Oreochromis niloticus: one gene and its partner. The protein of the gene in region 2 purifies or fractionates together with the protein of the main gene of each other region. This does not show direct contact. Links are inferred from orthologs where the notes say so. Each region holds a gene or a part of one and is shown on either strand. Other genes may lie near its edges.

Region 1 (10,391 bases), on a different chromosome or scaffold from region 2:
CCCACAGAGAAAAGAAATAGACTCCTGCTTTGAATACATGTGAAATGAGTTTTGCTACATGCCCACAGGCATTGGTTGGGAAATGCATTCTGTGCCTATTTGCATAAAGGACATCTTTCTAGTTAGCAATTCATATCTACAAATGTTCTGGTCCACAGCTATGAGGACAGTTTATCTGGAAAGCAAACAGGACTGCAGTCTGGGTAATATATAGACCACAAATGCATGTTTGAATATTCAGCAGCTAATAAATATAGAAAAAGTGCTGAGAAATTCTGCCTGCCTGCAGGCAATTCACTTTTTATTTAAATGTTTAGTTTGAAAATGAAGGAGCAGAAACTGAAATATAAATGTCGTTTTTATATGTGAATGTGATTGATTCATTTGGGTTTGGTGGAATTGGTTTGATAGTGTCGAGACAGAGACTCATGAAAACACCTGCGCCTGTTTTTGCACCATCAAGATAAAACAAGGCAATTCTGCAATTTTTTTGGCTTTTGGGTTCCTAAATTTCCCTCAGTATGCTGTATTTGAAATAAAATCTCATGTGCAGGATCTGGGCTCTGGTAGACTTTTAGTGCCAATGCATGAAGTCACTTCAACATTAAGAGCTCTGATTTGCTGCAGTTTCTTATTACCATGGAGAAATCCCACACAGCTGGGTGATGAATCTGTGCCTCGCTATCTGACAAACTAATTGAGTGGGTTGACTAAGAAACACAGGGTCTTGCTGCCTGGCCTGGCTGTTCGAGTCAAGAGGCTGAGAGAAAAGAACATTACTCATTAGAGATTTGAAAAGTTCCTTTCTGATTCAGTATGTGAGTGCTGGTACTGGTATTGCTCATTTTGTGGGGACAAATCTGTTCAAACAGTCATATTTAATGGACGTGCCCACCTTTTGTGACAAAAATAAACAAATCCCAACTAATGGAAATTTGTGAAATTTTATTAATAAGAAGGTTCGAGGTAAGGATTTGGCATATAATACGGTTGGAGTCTAAAGTTTCAGAAAATATATGCATACTAAAGATTAATGTCAACCATAAGAGTGGTGGAAAAACCAGAGAAGCTGGGGTTACTTGTTAAAGAGCTCCATCTAATGGTCAGTGATATTAAAACTACACTCATTTGCCACTATATTAGGTATGCCTGTTCAATAAGTCGTTAATGCAAATATCTAATCAGCTAATCATATGGCAGCAACTCTGTGCATTTAGGCTTGTAGACATGGTCTATTCAAGGTCAAACTGAGCATCTGAATGGGGAAGAAAGGTGGTTTAAATGGCTCTAAACATGACGTGGTTGTGGGTGACTGCTCTGCGTGTTTCAGAAACTGCTGAACTGCTGGGATTTTAGCACAAAACCTCACAGAATGGTCCAAAAAAGATCAAATATCCAGTCCCTCACCCTGCCAGAGTATTGTTTCTGACCATGGCTGCTGATGGCTGCTTCCAGCAGGATAACATGCCATGTCACAAAACTTTAATCATCTGGTTTCTTGAACCTAACAATGAGTTGACTGTACTTAAAGGGCCCCCACAGTCACCAGATCTCAAACCAATTAAGCACATTTGGGATGTGGTAGAAAGGGAGAATCACAACATGGACAAATCTGCAGCAGCTGTGTGATGCTATCATTTCAATATGGACCAAAATCTCTGAGGAATGTTTTCAGTACTTTGTTGAAGCTATGCCATGAAGAATTAAGGCAATTCTTAAGGCAAAAAAGGGCTAAAGTCAAGACCTATAGAGATGTATCTAATTTTTATTTATTTATTTATGTATTTATTTATTTATTTGTACCTGGGCTTGTAAAATATCAGTCTTGGTCTTGACTTATAATGAACTTCTATGTCCTACCGTTAAGTAATACAACTGAGCAAAACAACATTTTATTTTGAAAGTACTTTCCGGAAGACTAATTAATGTCAGGCTATGTTGCCAAGTAACTTACTGAGATATTTTCAAAGCTTCTGCTGTCATCAGCTGATAAGTTTAGACATTTATTGGCAGCAGTCATGAGGTGATGTATATTTTACATCATAATGACGTTTGCATATGATAAGAAGTCACGTGTGTATCACACAATGTAAATACTGTAGATATTATTTCCCTGGCTTAAGTTAGCTAACGTTAGCTGTTTGATGCCTTAGCTTAGTTCCCAGATAAATTGCAAACTTTAAATCATCTTATTTTTGTATTGTACATAGTTGGGACAACATTTTTATGACTTTTCCATTATGCAGAAGTTTTTATGCCGTTTTATTGATACATACACACAGAGAATCAGAATACTTTATTGATCCATAGGGAAAATTATGTAGAACAAAAACTCTCTCAATCCACATGATTGGGGGAAAGATAATAAACAGATGAAAGTACAAGTAAGGGAAAAAAAAGCTAAACTAACGAGAAAAAAGCAAGACAAACTGCAGCAGGCTGTGACAGGCTGCATGCTGGTCGGCGCATGCGCACTGAAAACCCCGTTTTTATTTTATCACAGTAATTACCAATATGCTATGTCAGAAATTGCTTGAATAAGTTATTATTCTGGCATAGTATTACTAAGGCAATTTAATAGGCAACTAATGTGCTGCTGTGTATGATATTTTAGAAAATGACTGCACATTTTTATATTTAAAGTCCTAATAACAGTTAACCTTAACAGTTGGTTAAAAGTAATGGAAAATGTACATTAAAAAAATCAGCTTAATTCCTCCCAAATAAAAGGACGGTGAATTACCAATATAAAGTCAATTAAAATGACTAAAATTTGAATAAAGTAAAAGTGCATACCACCAGATTATACGAAAAATAAGTATCTAAGTCAGTGTAAATATTCCACTATTGGTTCTCTCATCAGTAGAACTCATCATAAGATACATTATGCAATATATTGTAATGTAAAAAATAATCGGTCTCTTTGTCCTTCCTTCTCATGTTTCCTCTTCTGTAGCTTGCAGGAGGAGGAGCCCCAACAAGGGACACTGCAGGAAGTGGCAGTCAGAATAATTCAGAGGGCTTGGAGAGGATATGTGGTAGGAGCATCTGCTACTACTGCTATGGGAACACAGACTCACATATGTGCACAATTGTAGGCACAACTTGTTTTTATCTACCCAAATTGCAGGCCAGTGAAGTCTTCAGGTATTTCAAAGAGCTGATTTTCTACTGCAAACAGCGGGATCCAAAGACCATCCTCAAAACTGTCAATCCTCGAGAGGTAATGGAAATTGCAACCCCTATGAAATAAAACCAAATCAAACAAAATGAAATGTGATTTTGTTGTGGCAGGCCGAACTACTGGATGCTGCAGCTGGAGTGTTTATCAGATTTCGACTTGGAGGGGTAAGAGCTCAGAGAGGAAATAGTATAGGTCAGGAATAGATCACTCAGGAGCTATATGGATATGATATTAGAGACATGCCTTCTGACATCTAACCTCTCTGCCACTTTAGATCAACTTTCCTCCCAATATCTATTACAAGATCTTCACCCATCGGCCCATTACGGATGTGTGTGCAGGCAGTCCGAAAGACTACACCAAGCAAAGCCGTAGGAAGCTTGTGGCCCAGAAGACCAACAAAGGCCCAGCCGTCGCAAAGGATGACCGATTGGGTTGGTACCAGCGCATGGAGAACAATAGTTGGAGGCTGTTCTGTAACAAGGTGAGGAACAAAAATGAGTTTTTGTTCTGCTTTAGTCAAGTTCTGCCATTTGTTTAGAAACAGTGAGCCAAAGAGCTACAGCAAGTTTACAAATGCTTTTTAACAGGAAGCTTCTAAAAGCCAAAGTTCTGCAAGTCTGTTTTTTTTTTGTTTTTTGCTTCGTCTTCTCTCTTAGGTGGTTTTAGCATGTGAGCCTGCAGAGATCGGTGCTGACAAAAAAATGGACTTTCATTACTCCAAGTTGCAGCGGAAGCAAGATTTAGAGAGGTGGAGGAAGAGAAAGAAAATTGAATGGCTGAAACAGATGTAAGCGCTTTTGTGAAATGAAACAGTTGGCGAGCAAACCACTGTGGCATCAGTGATCACAATAATTTAAATGCAATCTGAAGTTTGTGTCTGTTATTTATTAATAGTGATAGAAACCTCCCCCTTATAGAATCACATCTTTGCTAACAAACACATAATGGTGTGTTGCTTTAATTGTGCTAAATGAGCTGTCACTCCTGTTCCTTACATACAGGTATAAAGAGGGTCGTCTGCAGGATCATGCGGAGCACAGACACATGGCGGCCCTGGTGGAGAGTTCCACCCAGGAATTCATGGAGACCGTTGAAAAGAAAGGAGATGATGAAATACTGGAATGGGAGCTGGATGAGCTGCTGGCCTGGACCAACACTCTAAACTTCGAGGAGTAAGGCACACTGATTAGAATGTTTGTGGCATTTGTAATTTTTCTTATAATTTCCCGCATCGTAGGATGTACCCCGCCCCCCCACCACCACCACCACCACCGAGTATGAATTTTCCTCTCTTGCCTGTGCAGGTATATGGAGGAATGGAGACATTTGGCCTGTAGTTACTCCTCTGAGCAGAGCAAAGGTAAAAATATTCCCTAAATACTGTATTCTGTGCTGCCATCTGATTTTTTTAAATTGATAGCTAACATGGCAACATCATGTAGGTTGCTTTGGAAGTCTTTGGATGATCCTGATAATCCAGTCTCATGCTATTCTGTCTTCCTTTTTCTTCATCACCTTTTTCTCATATCTCCTACAGATGGCCCTTCTCACCCACCCAGGTTAGATCCACACGAGCTGGCAGCAGAACAAACATGATTTATGTTAAAACTGTGCAGTCTCGAAGTGGAGTGTGCCACACTGTTATTGTTGCAGTATTCACTTTAATAAAGTCTGAAACTTGCAGTTGTTTACAGTCTTTGTTAGTCTGTCATATAAGTAGACATCACTGTGTGCCATTTTTTGTTAGTGTGTAGACTATAGTTTGTTACAGTAACAGTGTGTTAAACCACATTCCGAATTCCAGAGAGTCAGACTGCCAAAAATTGTCCTTAATCATCAGCTCGCAAACATCTGCAAATCAACGTACAGCTGATATCCGGTGTGTTTGTATCCGTCTGATAGCTGGAAATCACCATGTGCCTATGGATTGCTGAGGTGACTGAATTGGCAGATCACCAGCTTCTACTGAATCAATTCCACATCCTTAGTTTCTCATGGAATAATGAGACATTTGGTCAATTTTCCAATACTTCTTGTGCTCAGAAGTACTTCTACTTCTGAGCATCTTAAAATCCAGTGCTGCATGAAAATGACTCCCCTTGTCTTCAATCACGTCTTGACTGTTCAATTCAAATATATGCTGGTGGTATATGAAGGCAAAATGACAATCCCAACTGGATCTAACTGTATTTATGGCTTTTGTGTTTCTTAACTTGATATCCGAGGGTGTTCAGCTCATTGTGGGAGCACACTGTACCACTGTAGAGAGAAGTGCATTTTACAGGTCAGCCTTACTTGTTACTTGTTTGATTGAAGCCATGTATCTGTAAATGTAATGCTACATAGTATGGTAATTGATGTAACAGATATTCTGGCTGTTATCATTATTATTATTATTATCATTAAATTCCAAAAGCTGTACTTGTCATTAAAGTGATAAATTAAAGTTTTGCAAATGACTAACGCAAAAATTGGAAAACAGGGGGCACCCGGATTTGAACCGGGGACCTCTTGATCTGCAGTCAAATGCTCTACCACTGAGCTATACCCCCTCACGTTTAGCACAGCGGACGCATACGTATTTGTCATGATCATAATCATTCCCCACACGAAGTTGGGAGTTCATGTTTCTATCTTCAGTTAAGTGATAACGAATTGATTTCGTATACTTTAGATACTGTACAGCACACGATAGTATGTTTAACTGGAAAGACGTGGTTCTGTACATAACGCTATCAGCGGATGTGTCGTCATCAAAACGAGACGCTACCGGATACAGCAGTGTATCGAAAGGAAAGGGGAACAAACGAAGTGAAAATGGTATGATAGCGTTTTTAATGCCTATACCATATTTTTTAAATATCTTAAGCCTTGTTGTTGCGTACTCTCTTTGCTTTAATAATCTGTGTGATCATTTGAAGTCTCGGTGGTGAAGCTGTTTGTTTTTAACCGTGCCCAAACTGAGTAGCTGTGAATTTGATTAGTCACTCGAGCTAATGCCAGCTAGCGCTTAGGTTAGCCACAAGGTCCCTTAGATAAATACAACTTCCAGTATTTGTTGCTATTAGCTACATTAGATAGCCATTAGCTAAGTGTGATCAAATGTAAATGGTTTATGTATGTCTTTGATGTGGACTACAGAATTCCAGAGGACTTCGCTCTCAGCTTAAGGACAGTGTACCTGTGGCTGGGTTCTCTCCACAGGGAGCTTACGGAGTGCAGGACTCCCTCCGTAGTGGGTGAGAAACTGTTAAAAATGAAACACAGTTGCATGATAACCTCAAAAAACACATTTTTGTATTAGCCCCCAAATAAAGAACAACGTGCTGTTTGTAACACTTTTTTTTTTCTCTACTACTTTTATTAAACAGATTTACCAGTGTTAAGAATGAACTGCTTCCAAGCCACCCGCTGGAGCTGTCAGAAAAAAATGTGAGTCATTAAACCAATTAATGCTGTCTCCATAAAATGCTTAAATGGTATTTGTGTTTTGTGCTTGGTTTTACTATAAAAATTACTTTTTTTGTCAAATGCAGCTCAGTTTAATCACAATAGACACAAAGGGCAAGTAGTAAAAATACGTTTCTCTCGGTATCTCACTGTTTTCTGTTTCTCCATGAGCAGTTCCAGTTGAACCAGGATAAGATGAATTTCTCAACACTCAGAAACATCCAGGGTCTTCACGCTCCTCTCAAACTGCAAATGGAGTACAGGGCGGCCCGACAGGTAGCTGCAGTCCTTTTTTAGGGTGTTCTCTTGTTTTGTTTTCTTTTTTCCTTCTCAGTCCTGACACCAACTGTTTCTTCCCTCCAGATCCAGCGTCTCCCATTCCTACAGAGCTCAAATTTGGCTCTCGATACGCTGCGAAACAGCGATGAGTCCATTGGATTTGAAGACGTCCTCAACGGTGGGAACCTTGTCCTTCCCTTTTACACCTTCAGTGATATGTGTGTTGAAATAAAACCATAGCTTATACTGTGCTTTTGTCTTTTTCCTTTATAGATCCAGCCCAGAGTGAAGTGATGGGTGAGCCACACATGATGGTGGAGTACAAATTGGGATTGTTGTGAACAGAGTTGGGCACACAGATCCATATTATTATTATGTATGAATACATTTGTTTATCAACTCCATAACCAAAGTTAGTAGTTGGTGGAGAGTTTTAGTTGTGGAGTACTTTTGAGCAGGACGTGTATGTGTGTGTGTGTAGTGATCTTGAAAAGAGTCACTCACACAGGCTGCTTTTGTATGATTTAATTTGGTTATTTCTAATAAACTTCATGACTCTCCTCATTGTCCTGGTTCATTTGATCAGTTATTTACATTTTTAGATGAGCTTGCGCTGATAAAATTACCTGGCATGTGTTCAGAGAGAAGGTGTAACAAAGCCTCACTACCCACTCTGAGTATGTTCACCTGTATAGCTAACATTGATTTGCCAATGCAACAGGTTAATAAAGAGCAACACTTGTATTTTAATCCATGTTATTCTTCACTTCACTCATTCTTCATTTGCCTAACTTGAAGTGTCCTTAAAAAAGTCATTGATATCTAAATCGTTCTTTTTCATCCCACAATTAAATTCTTCAAATATGTTATTTAAGTCTAATTGCATGTTTATACGACTGTACTCTCCATTTAGAGTTTAAGGAGCTGTTGGCAAGGCTCTCCACTTTCTCTTTTAAAATTTGCACTGTGAAGCCCGGGGTTGTTAACATTAATAGCAGGGTGGAAATCATTGAGGTTGAATTCATAATGGCTGCTGCTTGGTGGCATGGGCTGATCAAACATCTGCAACCAGTTGAAAAAACGCAGAGTATAGGTTTGTGATTGATGTTTTTCTGGGTGATGTATGATGCTCATGTGAAAATGTGCTAAAGAGAAATCCTACAAATTAACCCTAAAAAGGCACATCTGTGAAGTGAAAACCATTTCCGGTGACTATATCATGATGCTCATTGAGAGAAGGTTAAGGGTTTGTGGCACTGAAATAAGCAAAGCGTGGCTACTTTCAGGAATCTAAAATATAAAACATATTTAGTTATTTATCATTCTTTTTCGATGCTACATGATTCCATATTTCTTGCTTCATTTATTTGATGACTTCAGTTTGTATCTACAATATAGAAAAACCATGACAATGTGTGTCCAAACTTTTGACTGGTAGCTTTCAGGACAGTCGTTCATACATGCCTCTTCATTTGCTCTGATGTGTGACTTTCAGAAAAGGACTTGGTGCATTTTTTTGTGTGGCTTGTTGGTCTAGGGGTATGATTCTCGCTTAGGGTGCGAGAGGTCCCGGGTTCAAATCCCGGACGAGCCCATATGTTGTCTACGGGACCAAAATGTTGTTTAGCCTCTATTTGATCCAGCAGTCAGTGAGATGTTCTCTACAGATGCAAATCACACATGTTCCCATAGTATCTCATTTAGGAGCAGCTAAGAGATCTGATATAAATGACATCATTGGCCTTGGCCAAATAGAAAACACCCACAAATACTCCCAAAAATCTAGTGTTGTGTTCCTTTTTTATTTTCAAATATTGAATAACAAGACAAAACTGCAAAGGTGAATTAATTATTTTCGCACTCTTAATTAACTGAAGCTTTTCACTGAACTACCAAATAAACAACTTGGTACTCTCTTTCTGGCCAGTGTCATTGAAGTTTTTAAATAAACTATAAACATTTGATGAGTGTCTTTTGAAGTGGATTTTAATATTACGCTGCAGCCGAGAGAGCACTCTGGTCAAACGTCAAAATGGTCTCTAAGTGTACACATTCTTTTTTGACTGCTAGTGAAAAGTGTTTACTTTACAAATAACTCTCTCACTGAACTAACAGCCAATCCCTCAACAAGTTTGTGCTCTCTGTTCATATTGCCTTCATATTAAATCATTTTGTGCTTTTTAAAGAAATTATTTTTACATTGCACTCAACAACAAACAAATCCTCCCTAACAACAAAAGTAACTTCAATGGCGAAATTGCATTATATTTCTTCAGGTCAATATACAGGCTGCAAGTAGGAGTGAGGCCGCGAGTTTGAGACCCTTGCTAAAATGAAATGGTGCAGTCCCAGGTATTTAAACACCAGTGGGATGTGTCCCTTAAAGGAATCCAGACACTCATCTTTCAAAGCTCCTTAGACTAACAGGCCCTGGATGACTGAGAACAGACAAAACTACTAACTTTTAGGCACTGCTGGGAGTTGAACCCAGGATCTCCTGTTTTCTAGTTTAACACTTACTAGACAGGCACTTTAACCAACTAAGCCACAGTGCCACATACATGCCACACAGATCAGTGACTGATGAACACTGAGAAAACCTCCAACCATTAAATAGATTTGAGCCTAAACAGAAACACATGAAAGGCAGTCTTGTTTCTTATATTAATCACCAGAGGTTGTCGCATAAAAAGAGACGACGTGTTAAAAACTCAGGGGTTAAAAGTGGGACGGTGTTTTTGTTTTGCTAACTCTCCACGACACTCTAAACGTCAGGCTGCTCATCTTCAGTCAGCCTCCTCCATTGCCCCTTGATGCCCACTCACACTAGTCAGCTTCTACAGCAGTGGGTGGGGTAACTGCAGAGTTACTGTAGTTTTGCTTTTTCATTTTTTCCATTTTTTCATTTGTTTTTAATTTTGTCTAGTTTCACTTACTTTCTATTGTGAGTTTATGTATTTTAGTTTAGTTTTTATTGTTTGAAATTGTTTTGCTTTTCATTACAATTTTCAGTTCGATTCTATTTTATTTATATAAATAAAATTGCAAATCTTTAGACTGTAAGCTAAAGACCCTACAATAACACATACCCCACAGTGGCCATGAAGAACTCCCTTTTAAAAAGAAGAAACCTCCAGCAGAACCAGGCTCAGGTAAGGGGCGCCACGCTGTGCAAGAGAGCAAGAGAATAATAATAACTAATAATAAGATGCAGAGTGGTGTATAAACACATAGTCAGAAAAGTGACATCAGAAGAATCTTATTGCAGCATAACTAAGGGAGGATTCAGGGTCACCTGGTCCAGCTCTAACTTTATGCTTTATTTAAAATGAAAATTTATGTTAAAGGAATTCCCTGACTTACACTGTCTTTGTGTCTTTGTTTAGAAGCAGAACGACACAGATGGATCCACTTCCCAACCCTGTCATCGCTGTGGTGGTGGGAAAGATATTTCTGTTCTAAAACCTTTGTGCAT
Region 2 (11,732 bases):
CACTGGTGTGGAGAGAGCGCAGGAAGGGAGCGGAGCTGCCACCCAGATAGTCTGCCGTCTTATAATCAGCCACAGAGGTGTCTGACAGCACCGTCACATTCAGCTCTCTGTGCTGCAGACAGTCAAACACCTACAGGAGACAAAAGAAACACACAGTCAGGCAAACAACACTTTAACCATGCTGGTCACGCTGAAAAACCACCTCCATGTCTCACTGTAATCTCAGTGTGTGGTTAAAAAATGCCAGTAAATAAATAATTACTGTACACTCAGCGGTTGATTTATTATAGAACACATAAGGGACCTAATATGTACCAAGAAAAAGTTCCACACTACCACCAGCCGGAACCTTTGGCACGAAGCAGGATAGATCGATGTTGTTTACACCAAATTCTGCCCTATTTGGCAGCAGAACTGGAGACTCGTGAGACCGGTTGGTATTTTTCCAATTTGCTCCTGTTTTGGTTTACTGGTGTCTAGTACAGCCTTAGTTTATTGTTCTCAGCCAAATGGAGTGAAATTTGCTTTGGTCTCCTGCTGCTGTAGCCAATTTGAAGGTTTAGTGTGTACAGAGATGCTACCCTGCTTTGCACTATAACAAATCCCAGGAGATCAGCAGTTTCTGATCTCTATAACCAGCCTGCATGGCACCAACAACCATCACAAGATCACACTTTATCACAGTTCTCCTGTTTGGTCTGAAAATCTGCGCTTCTTGATCATGCCTGGATGAGATACTGATAAATGTATATTATAGCAAACCTTAAGCTTTATCGGTTTAGAGACTGAGAAGCAGATGCCGGCCTGAACGGCTCTGCACAAAGAAACAATAAACTGTATATAAATGATGGAAGTTTGAAGTTTAAATGCATTAAACTTCAGGGGACAACTCCTTCTGTTGTAAAATCAAGGCCCTAACCCCAACCCAGAAGTTTTATTTGACATCTCTAATCTGAGTTTATAGGCTCAGCCGGTAGTTTCTTGCATGAAGCAGGGCTTTCTTTAAATCGTGCTTAGCTTATGAGCATTCAGTGTCAAAAATGCTCAGCTCAAGACCTCAGAATGGGTCGTCAACAACCACTGGCCCACATTTCACATCATTAAAAAAGTCTAGAATGACAACATAACACAATCTCCCTGCAGTTCTTCGCTTAGTTCATTAAACATACCTTTTCTGTCCACTGAAAAAGCTGGTCTTCTGCAACGTAGCACGACACCTGGCATATCAAAACCTTCAAGGAAAGAAAAAAAAAACTTTTTATGCAACAACTATGCTTTTGTAATTAAAAAAAAAAACATTTTCCGACCTTTAACATTCAAATGTAACAGGACTTCCCTGTATTCTAACTGATTAAATTAGATTAAATCAGAGAAGAGTAAATCAACATTTTAAGCTCTACAATAATTAGTTAAAGTTATTGAGTTAAAGTCAAACTAAACACCCAGAGGACCCACAAGTATGGATTAATGCTTAAATAGCTGTAACATTCTTAAATATTCAAAGAATCCAGAAGTTCATGTGGCCTTTTTTTTTTTTTTTTTACTGTTGCATTGTGGGATGTAACACTCTACTGCAAACCCAACTACAAGATGTTTACCAGCCAAAACACAGACACTGAAAGACATGGGACCGGTAAATTTGGAGCCCCACAGAAAGACAAAGATGAGTTTAGGTGATTCTAAATTGGCTAAACTGGGTGTGAATGTGAAAGAGAATGGTTGTCTTTCACTGGGATGAACTGGTGACCTTTTCCAGGGTGTAACCCGCCTCTCGGTCTAGGACAGGGGACAGGCTGTAGCCACCCCCTCCGCTAAATACGTAGCTAAATTAGTTTGATTCAACACTCTACAACTGATTTTGTTGGTTATGTTAGAGCATTACTTTACTATTTAGTCAGTTAATTCTCCCAGATTTCAATCAAGAACATGAGGTCAGCAAACACTGGGTATTTTGCCTTTATCAAAAAAGATAAATCAATGATTTATCTTCTTCCACTGATGACTGATTAAAGTGGACGCATTACAAACATCTTCAGGCTTCTCAACTCTTCAAAGAAAAATCACGTTTATTGATCCTACACTGAACCGAGAGCTTTATTTGGACTTAATATCCCCGCTTTTGCTGCATTATTTTTCACCATACACACCAACTACTGTCTAAAACACACTCCCCACCCTTTAAATCAGCATTAAAAATGAAGGTTGTGCTAACAGGACTTTTAGTAAATCAGTGATCTTTAAATTAATGGCCAACTGTTGTGGTATCTGCTGTCCACAGCTGCTCCTGTGGTCCTCCAGTACATTAAATCCCAGCAGCCACCTGAAGGCAGCAGGACACGTGTGATAAATCTGAAGCTTCCTCGGCAGCACAGGAGCAACCGTTCACTACATTTATCTCGATTGAATCACGTGTGGATGAGGGCAGGCGGTTCTACACACAATCAACCGGTCGGTTATAACTCTGACAACAGACACTAGATTACCAGGGTTCATTAATCCTCTGTGTAATGGCCTCTCTTCCAAGTCTTGTAACAGAACCAGCATTTCATTCTTTACTCTTGCACTGCGCGTAATTTATTCAGATTTTTCTTTTATAATATCTCATCTGTTTGCAGCTCGACAGCGAACAGGCCACAGCCATTATAAAGTGCCCTTGATATAAATGAGAGAACATCTCAAACAGCACTTGAAAAATATTAAACAGAAGTTCAGGAGCAAACCCATTAAACTGAATGATCATCGAGTTCTCGACCGTCAGGTGCTTTCAGACATATTTTGAAGTGCTGCCTCGCTCGGTGCGTCACTCACTGTTGGGTTGTCCTTGTGTCTGTAGAAAACACACGCCGATTCCTCGCAGCTTTGCCCCGTTACAGCTCGGCTCCTCTCGTTCCACGCCGACGCACGTCCGATTGTATCCCAGTTTGCCGTGGACAGGATGTGCACTGACAGAAAACCTGTGAAGACAGAGTCTCTCAGTTTTCAAAGAAAGCTCACAAGTTACTCAAGTGTTTATTTCCAAATAGGAAACATGAAATAACAAGAGTGCTACTGGTACCCCTTACGGAAGGGAACAACAGCAAAAGGAAAGATTATGAGCACAAATAAAAGTCCAGACTTAACATATTGAAGGTAGGCTTGGAAAACTAACAAAATTATTTAACTGGGCTTACAATATACAGTGCCTTAAGGCAACTATTGTTGTCATTTGGTGCTAAATAAATAAAACTGGATTGAAAAAGATCTGATGTCAACTGCTGCTATCCCAGTCCACAGTAGCATACGGCGTTAGTGTTGCCGAGGGGCGTGGCCTACTGCCACCTACAGCTGTGGATCAAAACCTCACTTCAAAGAAACAAAACTGTCACCAACTTAGTGAAAACAGTTAGTAAAAAAAAAAAACTAATTAAAAAACCACAAATTCAAAGGTTCAAGACTCATTGAATAATTGAGAAAATAAGCTGCAGATTAACTGATGATCAAAACACTAATCGTAGACTGTCTGCATTATACTTCCTGCAGTGTTTTAGCACCGTATTCTCACTGGCTCCCCAACTCATCATTTTTAAAAGTACAAAAGATTCTTGGGAATATTCTGTTACTGCCTCTGAGCTGACATTTTGGTCCACCGTGTTCCAGTGTCCCGACAGGGATATTAAATATTAATTTAATGTGTAATAATATTGGGCATCTAGTTAAACCAATCACAGGCGAGTCAGCAGACAGGAGAGAGACAGCAGCAACTTACTGGAAGCATTTTGTCCCACAGCAAGGACGAAGTTTGAACACTGCAACTTGTTTCCAGACTTCAGCGACTCAGAGACTTCGGGGCTCCAGTGCAGATGAACCTCTCTGTTTGGTTTTATAGAGAAGAAAGATTTTAAAGATTTTTCCCCCAATCAACATTTTCATACATTTATAAAACTGCTCCTCCTAATGAGATCTGCCAATCTGTATCCTGGGTTCTCAGCTTAGTGAACAAAATATTTAAACTCAGATTAAAGTTTAGACAGCCTTCCACACGTCGTACCACGAAGCTCACTAAACTCAAGTGTCCTGCTGTAATAGGACGCCACTGTTGCAACAGTTTGTGAAATTGTCCCCTACTAGATATTCCACAAACAACTTTAAGTGGTATTATGGGAATTGGGAAGCATTCAGAAACCATGTACAGGGCTGGATTGCTGAGTGCTGAGGCGTACAGAGCGTAAACGTCGCCTACGCTCTGCTTGCTCATTGAAAGCAGAGTCCCAAACTTCCCCTGGCATTAACATCAGCACAAAAATGTGTGCTGGGAATTTTACAGGTTTCCATAGCTGAGCAGCTCCTGGAAGTGTAACATGAACTTTTGTCTATATAATGAATGAAAAGAAAGACAAAAAAACAAAATAAAAAAGTGTCTACTTTTTGCCTGTCATCACACAATGTGTTGGTTTGGCTTTGAAAAATTAAATTTTAGTATAATTTAATTTTAATATAATTAAGTTTTTTTTCTTTTACATAAAATAATCATGAAATCACTCCTAAAATGTGCTATTCTCTGGAACAAATTCTGGAAAAACTACACATACAAATACTTTTATGATTTTGAAATGGATAACGCCTCCATCTCACCCTTTCTCCCTAATATCTTCCTCTGTCAGACCAACCCTCTGTATCTCCTCCTTCATTGCATCCATTATTTTTCTCTGTTGTCTTCCTCTTTCCGTCATCCTGGAAGCTTCACATTTAAAATCCTTTGCATTTAAAGTCCTTACCCTCACCTCCTACCTTTCCTTCTCTCTGGCAGCTTCCAAACACACCTCTTCTCTTCCTCCGTCTTCACTCAGCAGCACTGATAAACCGGCTTCGACTGATTTTTATGGAAATCTCATTCTTGAGGATGCCCTTCCTGACACTACCCTAACTTTTTGTTTGACTACTCTATATTATCATTAATATTATTATTATTATTACTAACCATTTCCTTATTTAAGGGCATAATAGCAATGACAATGTTGCCATATCTTTTTGTACACTTGATAAAAGTGTTAAAAACAGGTTCCTGCATTAAGTGTGTAAATGCTGTTTGAATGGGTGAACTGAAAACTCATGTGTCATGTTAGCTCAGTTAGCTTCAGCGGCAGATATCCATCCAGCTGACCGAGTGAGAAAATGCTTAAATTGGGATGATATGGTCCGCATATTTTTGTACGTCTTAGTATTTCACTGGCAATAATCTCTGAATTTAAGATAGCTAACTAGCTAGATTAACTAAACCTGATTCCCCTCTGCATGCTTTCTCTGCGCTCACTACCCGATGCTACAGCTGGTTATTTACCTTTTTTCCTCCAGCTCTCTGCGGATTTGCTCATCTTCCTCGTTTTCATCAAGCTCATCGTCGTCTTCCTCCACAGCCCGAGAGTAAACCGACAGGACTTCCCCAAAAAACGTCGCCATAATCGTTGTGCTTTCAGAACAAAGTGAAAGTTTAGCTACAGATTTTTCAGACAGGTAGCCATGACATGCATGCCACGACTTCCGCCGGCAGCACGAGCCCTTCAGAATAAAAGCCTAATTTTAAACACTGAAATTTCAGAATAAATGAGTTGAGCCTACAAACCCCAGATTGTTAAACATGAGGTCCGGTGGACAGCATTGGCCAAAATTGCAAAGAAATCATCTTTAATACTTCAAATTATATCAGTAAATTGCTGGTTAGCTCCTCCTGTGGGAATAGCAATATTTCACGATAATGAAAATACTTGGATATTTAAAAGTAGCAGTTTCGAGAAATAACCACTTGCTCTGACCAAGGTATGCAGAAGAGCATTTATAAAGGCACAACATATGAACTGAACTAATTGGACTGATTTCTTCGACAAAACTGTGAGTTCACTGTTCTCAAATGCCCTCCAAAGTCTCCAATGTCAATCCAACAGAAATCTTTGGGATGTGGTGGAATGGGAGAATCAAATCATGGATGTGCAGCTGGCAAATCTGCAGCAATCCCGTGATGCTATCAAGTCAGGACCAAAATCTCTTTGTTTCCAGCTGCTTGTTAAATCCATGATATGAAGAATTAAGGCAGTTCTGAAGGTCAAAGGAATTCTGAACCAGTGCTAGAAAGGTGTAGCTAAGGAAGTGGCATGTGTAAAAATATTGAGCTGCTAATCATGTGTTTTGTAAACAGATGCTTCATTAAGAGTAAACATTTCCAGAACTTTTAACATTTCTTTATGAATTATAATAATCATAATAATAATAATAATAACAATACATTTCAGATCAAATTTGCTGTTTGTGGCCAGTGAAATATAGAGTTTGACTCTCATAAAGTTATCTAACTGGCCGAAGATCTTAACTCCTTGAGATAAACTATGTCAGTGTGTTAGAGCTAAATAAATAGATGAAAACTATTTTTGCATTCAATTATCTTAAAATAGTTTTTTATTTTTTCTCCAGTGTCTTTTAATGGTGTAAGTCTGAACCATGAAATAATTGCCAGATTTTTTTTAACTGCCGTGTTTATTGAACTTCTGTTTATTACAAAAAAAAAAAAAAGAAAGAAAGAACTTAAACCTTAATGTCCACATATGAGTTTCAATATTGGGAATTTATGTGCAATTTATTTAAGAGTTTCGGGGGAGAAAAAATGAGACTGTTCAGAGATTTCTTTTTTTTTTCTTTCTTTCTTTCTTTTTTTGTTGTTGTTGCTTACAGTAGGATTCCTGTTCATTTTATATCGTTTCTGGGTTGTGAATGAACAGGAGAAATGATTAAAACAATAAAAGCTATTTCAATGTTCAAATGAGCAAACGGTCAGCTTTAAGATCAAGCTTGAAGCAAGTGAAGCGTAATATTACCGTCTCATGTGTAGAAATACCTTAAATTGAGTGGCTCAAACATGCTGTGCATGCACACGGAGAAGTGCAAAACCATCACTCCACACAATCCTTGGGGGAAGCTCAAAGCCTGAGGCGGCATGACTTTCCAGCGTTTTTCTGCCATTGCAGTTCACTCAAATCAATGAATGATTTAAGGCTGTGGCTCTCCATTGAATTCACATGGTGTGTGGTTTTACAATGCATACTGGCTTCAATACGACAAGCAATTAGAGTCGGGATGCTTGATGTACTACAGGGAGTGCAGAATTATTAGGCAAATGAGTATTTTGTCCACATCATCCTCTTCATGCATGTTGTCTTACTCCAAGCTGTATAGGCTCAAAAGCCTACTACCAATTAAGCATATTAGGTGATGTGCATCTCTGTAATGAGAAGGGGTGTGGTCTAATGACATCAACACCCTATATCAGGTGTGCATAATTATTAGGCAACTTCCTTTCCTTTGGCAAAATGGGTCAAAAGAAGGACTTGACAGGCTCAGAAAAGTCCAAAATAGTGAGATATCTTGCAGAGGGATGCAGCAGTCTTAAAATTGCAAAGCTTCTGAAGCGTGATCATCGAACAATCAAGCGTTTCATTCAAAATAGTCAACAGGGTCGCAAGAAACGTGTGGAAAAACCAAGGCGCAAAATAACTGCCCATGAACTGAGAAAAGTCAAGCGTGCAGCTGCCAAGATGCCACTTGCCACCAGTTTGGCCATATTTCAGAGCTGCAACATCACTGGAGTGCCCAAAAGCACAAGGTGTGCAGTACTCAGAGACATGGCCAAGGTAAGAAAGGCTGAAAGACGACCACCACTGAACAAGACACACAAGCTGAAACGTCAAGACTGGGCCAAGAAATATCTCAAGACTGATTTTTCTAAGGTTTTATGGACTGATGAAATGAGAGTGAGTCTGGATGGGCCAGATGGATGGGCCCGTGGCTGGATTGGTAAAGGGCAGAGAGCTCCAGTCCGACTCAGACGCCAGCAAGTTGGAGGTGGAGTACTGGTTTGGGCTGGTATCATCAAAGATGAGCTTGTGGGGCCTTTTCGGGTTGAGGATGGAGTCAAGCTCAACTCCCAGTCCTACTGCCAGTTTCTGGAAGACACCTTCTTCAAGCAGTGGTACAGGAAGAAGTCTGCATCCTTCAAGAAAAACGTGATTTTCATGCAGGACAATGCTCCATCACACGCGTCCAAGTACTCCACAGCGTGGCTGGCAAGAAAGGGTATAAAAGAAGAAAAACTAATGACATGGCCTCCTTGTTCACCTGATCTGAACCCCATTGAGAACCTGTGGTCCATCATCAAATGTGAGATTTACAAGGAGGGAAAACAGTACACCTCTCTGAACAGTGTCTGGGAGGCTGTGGTTGCTGCTGCACGCAATGTTGATGGTGAACAGATCAAAACACTGACAGAATCCATGGATGGCAGGCTTTTGAGTGTCCTTGCAAAGAAAGGTGGCTATATTGGTCGCTGATTTGTTTTTGTTTTGTTTTTGAATGTCAGAAATGTATATTTGTGAATGTGGAGATGTTATATTGGTTTCACTGGTAAAAATAAATAATTGAAATGGGTACATATTTGTTTTTTGTTAAGTTGCCTAATAATTATGCACAGTAATAGTCACCTGCACACACGGATATCCCCCTAAAATAGCTAAAACTAAAAACTACTTCCAAAAACATTCAGCTTTGATATTAATGAGTTTTTTGGGTTCATTGAGAACATGGTTGTTGTTCAATAATAAAATTATTCCTCAAAAATACAACTTGCCCAATAATTCTGCACTCCCTGTATTTCTGGCCTTGGTACCAATCAGAGGTAAACTTGACATGCCACATGGCTCCACCAGCTTCTTACTGGTAATGCATAATTAACACGAGGAAGAAAGCAGGAATACAAAATTTCAGAAGCTTTCAAATTACCTTCAGCTGTATAGCTAGCTGGAAACACAAGCCAAGTCATGTTAGGGCAAATTGGCCTCAAGTTGACTGCAGAGCATCCACCCCATCTATTGTATTGTATAATTTATTTTCCCGTAAGCGGTGCCCTGGGAGATGAGGGACAAACAGAAATGTGATGATATCAGCACAGCCATAAAAATACTTCATTGTCACCAGAAAATGTCTGGCGTTGGAAAGAGGGATCGGATTGGAGGACAAAGTCTGGACTAGAATAGAGAGTATGCTCTATTACCAGTGTAGTGCAATAATGTAGCAGAAGGCCATAAACTAACAGCAGTGAGGCTTCCTGTCACAAAATGGAGCAACATGCTAGGGGGAAGCTTCGGGCTGCTGTTAATGTAATTGATAGTAGAGAGAGGGGAGAGAGGGAGGAAGAGGAGGAGGGATGCTCTACAGCTTAACAAACACAAAGCCTCCAGGGCTTAAGAGAAGAGAGGAATGTCAACAATGGGACAAACAGGCCATGTCACAACTTTACTGTCCATTAAAAATAGGACAGACAGTCAGAGGGGACAGACAAGGAGTCCGTCCAGTGAGGACGAGGGTTTGTCTGTTTGTCCTACACTTTGATCAAGAGCACCACATTCCTCCTGCGGTGGTTGGCAGGGGCGTGCTCGTCTCCCCTTAAAAGATTTATCTCAACATACCCATCTCGCCTGCTGATTAAGCTGCATGAATTAGGCTTTTAAAGAAAATCTCATTATATAAGAAGAATGAATTCCAAATCAACCAAAACAATCTCTACTTAGAAAACATGAAATAAACATAGCTGACACACAAAAGCAACAACTATACTGTTAACACAAAGGTAAAGAGGGAAGGGAGAAAGCACACTGCTCACACCGAGAACAATTTGACAATATTAATTATCCACAGAAGAGGGTACTTTTCACGCAGAGGCATACGAGACAAGGTTACCTTTCACACATTTAAGAGCATTAATTATGCACAAAAGAGAGTGTAGTTCACACAGAAGCAGACAAGACAATGGAGCTATTCATACATACACCAATTTGAAAGCACTTGTTATTTTTTCTTGAGTCAAAAAATGTATTGTGCTTCCACAAGAGAGAGAGATTTTGACTCATGAACAGATCTTTTTTATTGTGTTGTTTTCCAGGTTTTCATATTTGTAAGATGCCATGTTTACATATTCAGGTTTATTGCATTTCCCTCTCTTTAAACTTAGCTCTCACTGTCAAACCTGCTGAATGATTGAGGTGCATACCAGGCAGGTGTGGATACCCAGAACTGCAAGACTCTCATTTCAATTTCAGGCAAGCTGCACTTTTAGTGCATCAGGATGAAAATAGGGACACAATTCCATTTTGGTCTGGAAACTCAGCCACCAGCCTCTCACCTCACTGAACAGCTGCTCCTTGAGGCCTTGCAGAGCTAGCTGAGTGAAATCAAGTCCTGGAAATGCTCTCGTCTAATTGACTGTCACCCTTAAGGACAAATGAAGAGTGACAGACAAGTGAGGAGTCGATATTTGTCAAGAGAATCTGAGGCTCTTTTCTACATAGAGGTATAGCAAAACTAGGGAGCAGTGCAATGATAAAAGGAACTCAACCATCACAGTTATCAGTGAGCTGAATTGTTAATGAAAATCTTGTTAAGTAGCACTATATCAGATAATAATTAACTTGAGTTTTAGGACGGGCACAAAAACATCTAATAAATGCCTAACCTTTGATGGGCTTCATGGACAGCAATTCATTTTTTCAAAGAAAATATGGGTTAAATATAGATAACTGCTAATTGCTCTGACATAACACTAACACTGTGAACACAGTGAAGATGGTTTGTGTTACATCTAGTGTCGTCTTTGTGAGTGTGGTGACAGAGATATCCTAGTTATTGGATGGATTATGATTAATGTGCTCCAGATACTCATGGTCCCCTTGGGATGACTTCTATAACATTAGTGACCCTCTGGTTTTACATATTGGATTATAGCTGAGCTAATGATACAAGAACTGCATTACTGTGGTAGATATTAACACCGGTGGACATGTATAATGTTTATTAGTATTAGTATGTCTTTCTCTGTTGAATTTGCATGTTCTTCCCATGTTTGTGTGGACACTCTACCAGTATTCCCGCGTCCTTCTAGAGTCCAAAGACATGTATGGAGTTAGGTTAAGTGGAGATTTTAAACTGGTGAATATGAACTCTTGTTTATGTGTCTTATTGGCCCTGCGATTGGTTGGCAGCCTGTCCATGATGTACTCTACCTCTCACCATGTAGGAGCTGGGATAGGCTCCAGTCCCCTGTAGCCCTGAACTGGATAAGTGGAAGAGAATAGATGGATGGATGGATGGATGGATGGATGGATGGATGGATGGGTGGGTGGAGTCCAATAATGATGTGAATCCTTCTTTTTAGCTACTTATTGATGGATTAAAAGTTTAGATGGACTGAAAGTCTGGCTGGAGTAGTGTCACCTGTTCCTGACAAATCTCATGTTAGTGCACCCGTTTCCCACCAACTCATTACTTGCACATATTTCCAGATCGTTCCGTCTTTTAGAACTGCTCCAGGCTCTGTTATGTATTCACGTATTTAACCATTTTCCCTTCGTCCACTCTACATCACCTTAAGTGCCAGCCTCCCCTTGGGCTCATAATCAAACACTCACTCTGGAAAAATTATTCACCTGTGAAGGACCTCAGCAGCCAGCACACTCTTCACCAACCCCTCTTCAATATTGTACATTCTGGTCTTGTAATAAAAACCCTAAAAGTGTGTTTGTTGTTTTTCTGTCTCAGTACCTGCCTTTACATCTTCTAGTTTCTGCTAAAAACATAACAATATAGAGAAGAGCATCACAGATCCTCTAAAGACTGTACAAATACTAAACACAGACACAGATCAAACTCAGACCTGATTA

The links.
Region 1: the proteins of psmg1 (region 2) and pomp purify together in Homo sapiens (affinity purification with mass spectrometry; 4 studies listed by BioGRID and IntAct, with this or other methods). This does not show direct contact. The link is inferred for Oreochromis niloticus from reciprocal best matches to the Homo sapiens genes PSMG1 and POMP.

The regions. Positions count from the first base shown.
Region 1 is NC_031974.2:26,855,072-26,865,462, reverse strand, and holds pomp (proteasome maturation protein), read left to right. Parts: upstream 1-5,847; 5' UTR 5,848-5,929; coding exon 5,930-6,007; intron 6,008-6,328; coding exon 6,329-6,426; intron 6,427-6,558; coding exon 6,559-6,619; intron 6,620-6,811; coding exon 6,812-6,913; intron 6,914-7,000; coding exon 7,001-7,094; intron 7,095-7,189; coding exon 7,190-7,257; 3' UTR 7,258-7,481; downstream 7,482-10,391. Other genes in the region: lg9h11orf65 (protein MFI), read left to right, coding at 2,019-2,023, 2,957-3,038, 3,131-3,223, 3,295-3,348, 3,459-3,668, 3,844-3,974, 4,189-4,359, 4,492-4,547 and 1 more. UniProt on the Homo sapiens protein: Molecular chaperone essential for the assembly of standard proteasomes and immunoproteasomes. Degraded after completion of proteasome maturation. Mediates the association of 20S preproteasome with the endoplasmic reticulum.
Region 2 is NC_031975.2:24,232,085-24,243,816, forward strand, and holds the start of psmg1 (proteasome assembly chaperone 1), read right to left. Parts: upstream 5,541-11,732; 5' UTR 5,437-5,540; coding exon 5,318-5,436; intron 3,850-5,317; coding exon 3,746-3,849; intron 2,955-3,745; coding exon 2,809-2,954; intron 1,233-2,808; coding exon 1,170-1,232; intron 131-1,169; coding exon 1-130. UniProt on the Homo sapiens protein: Chaperone protein which promotes assembly of the 20S proteasome as part of a heterodimer with PSMG2.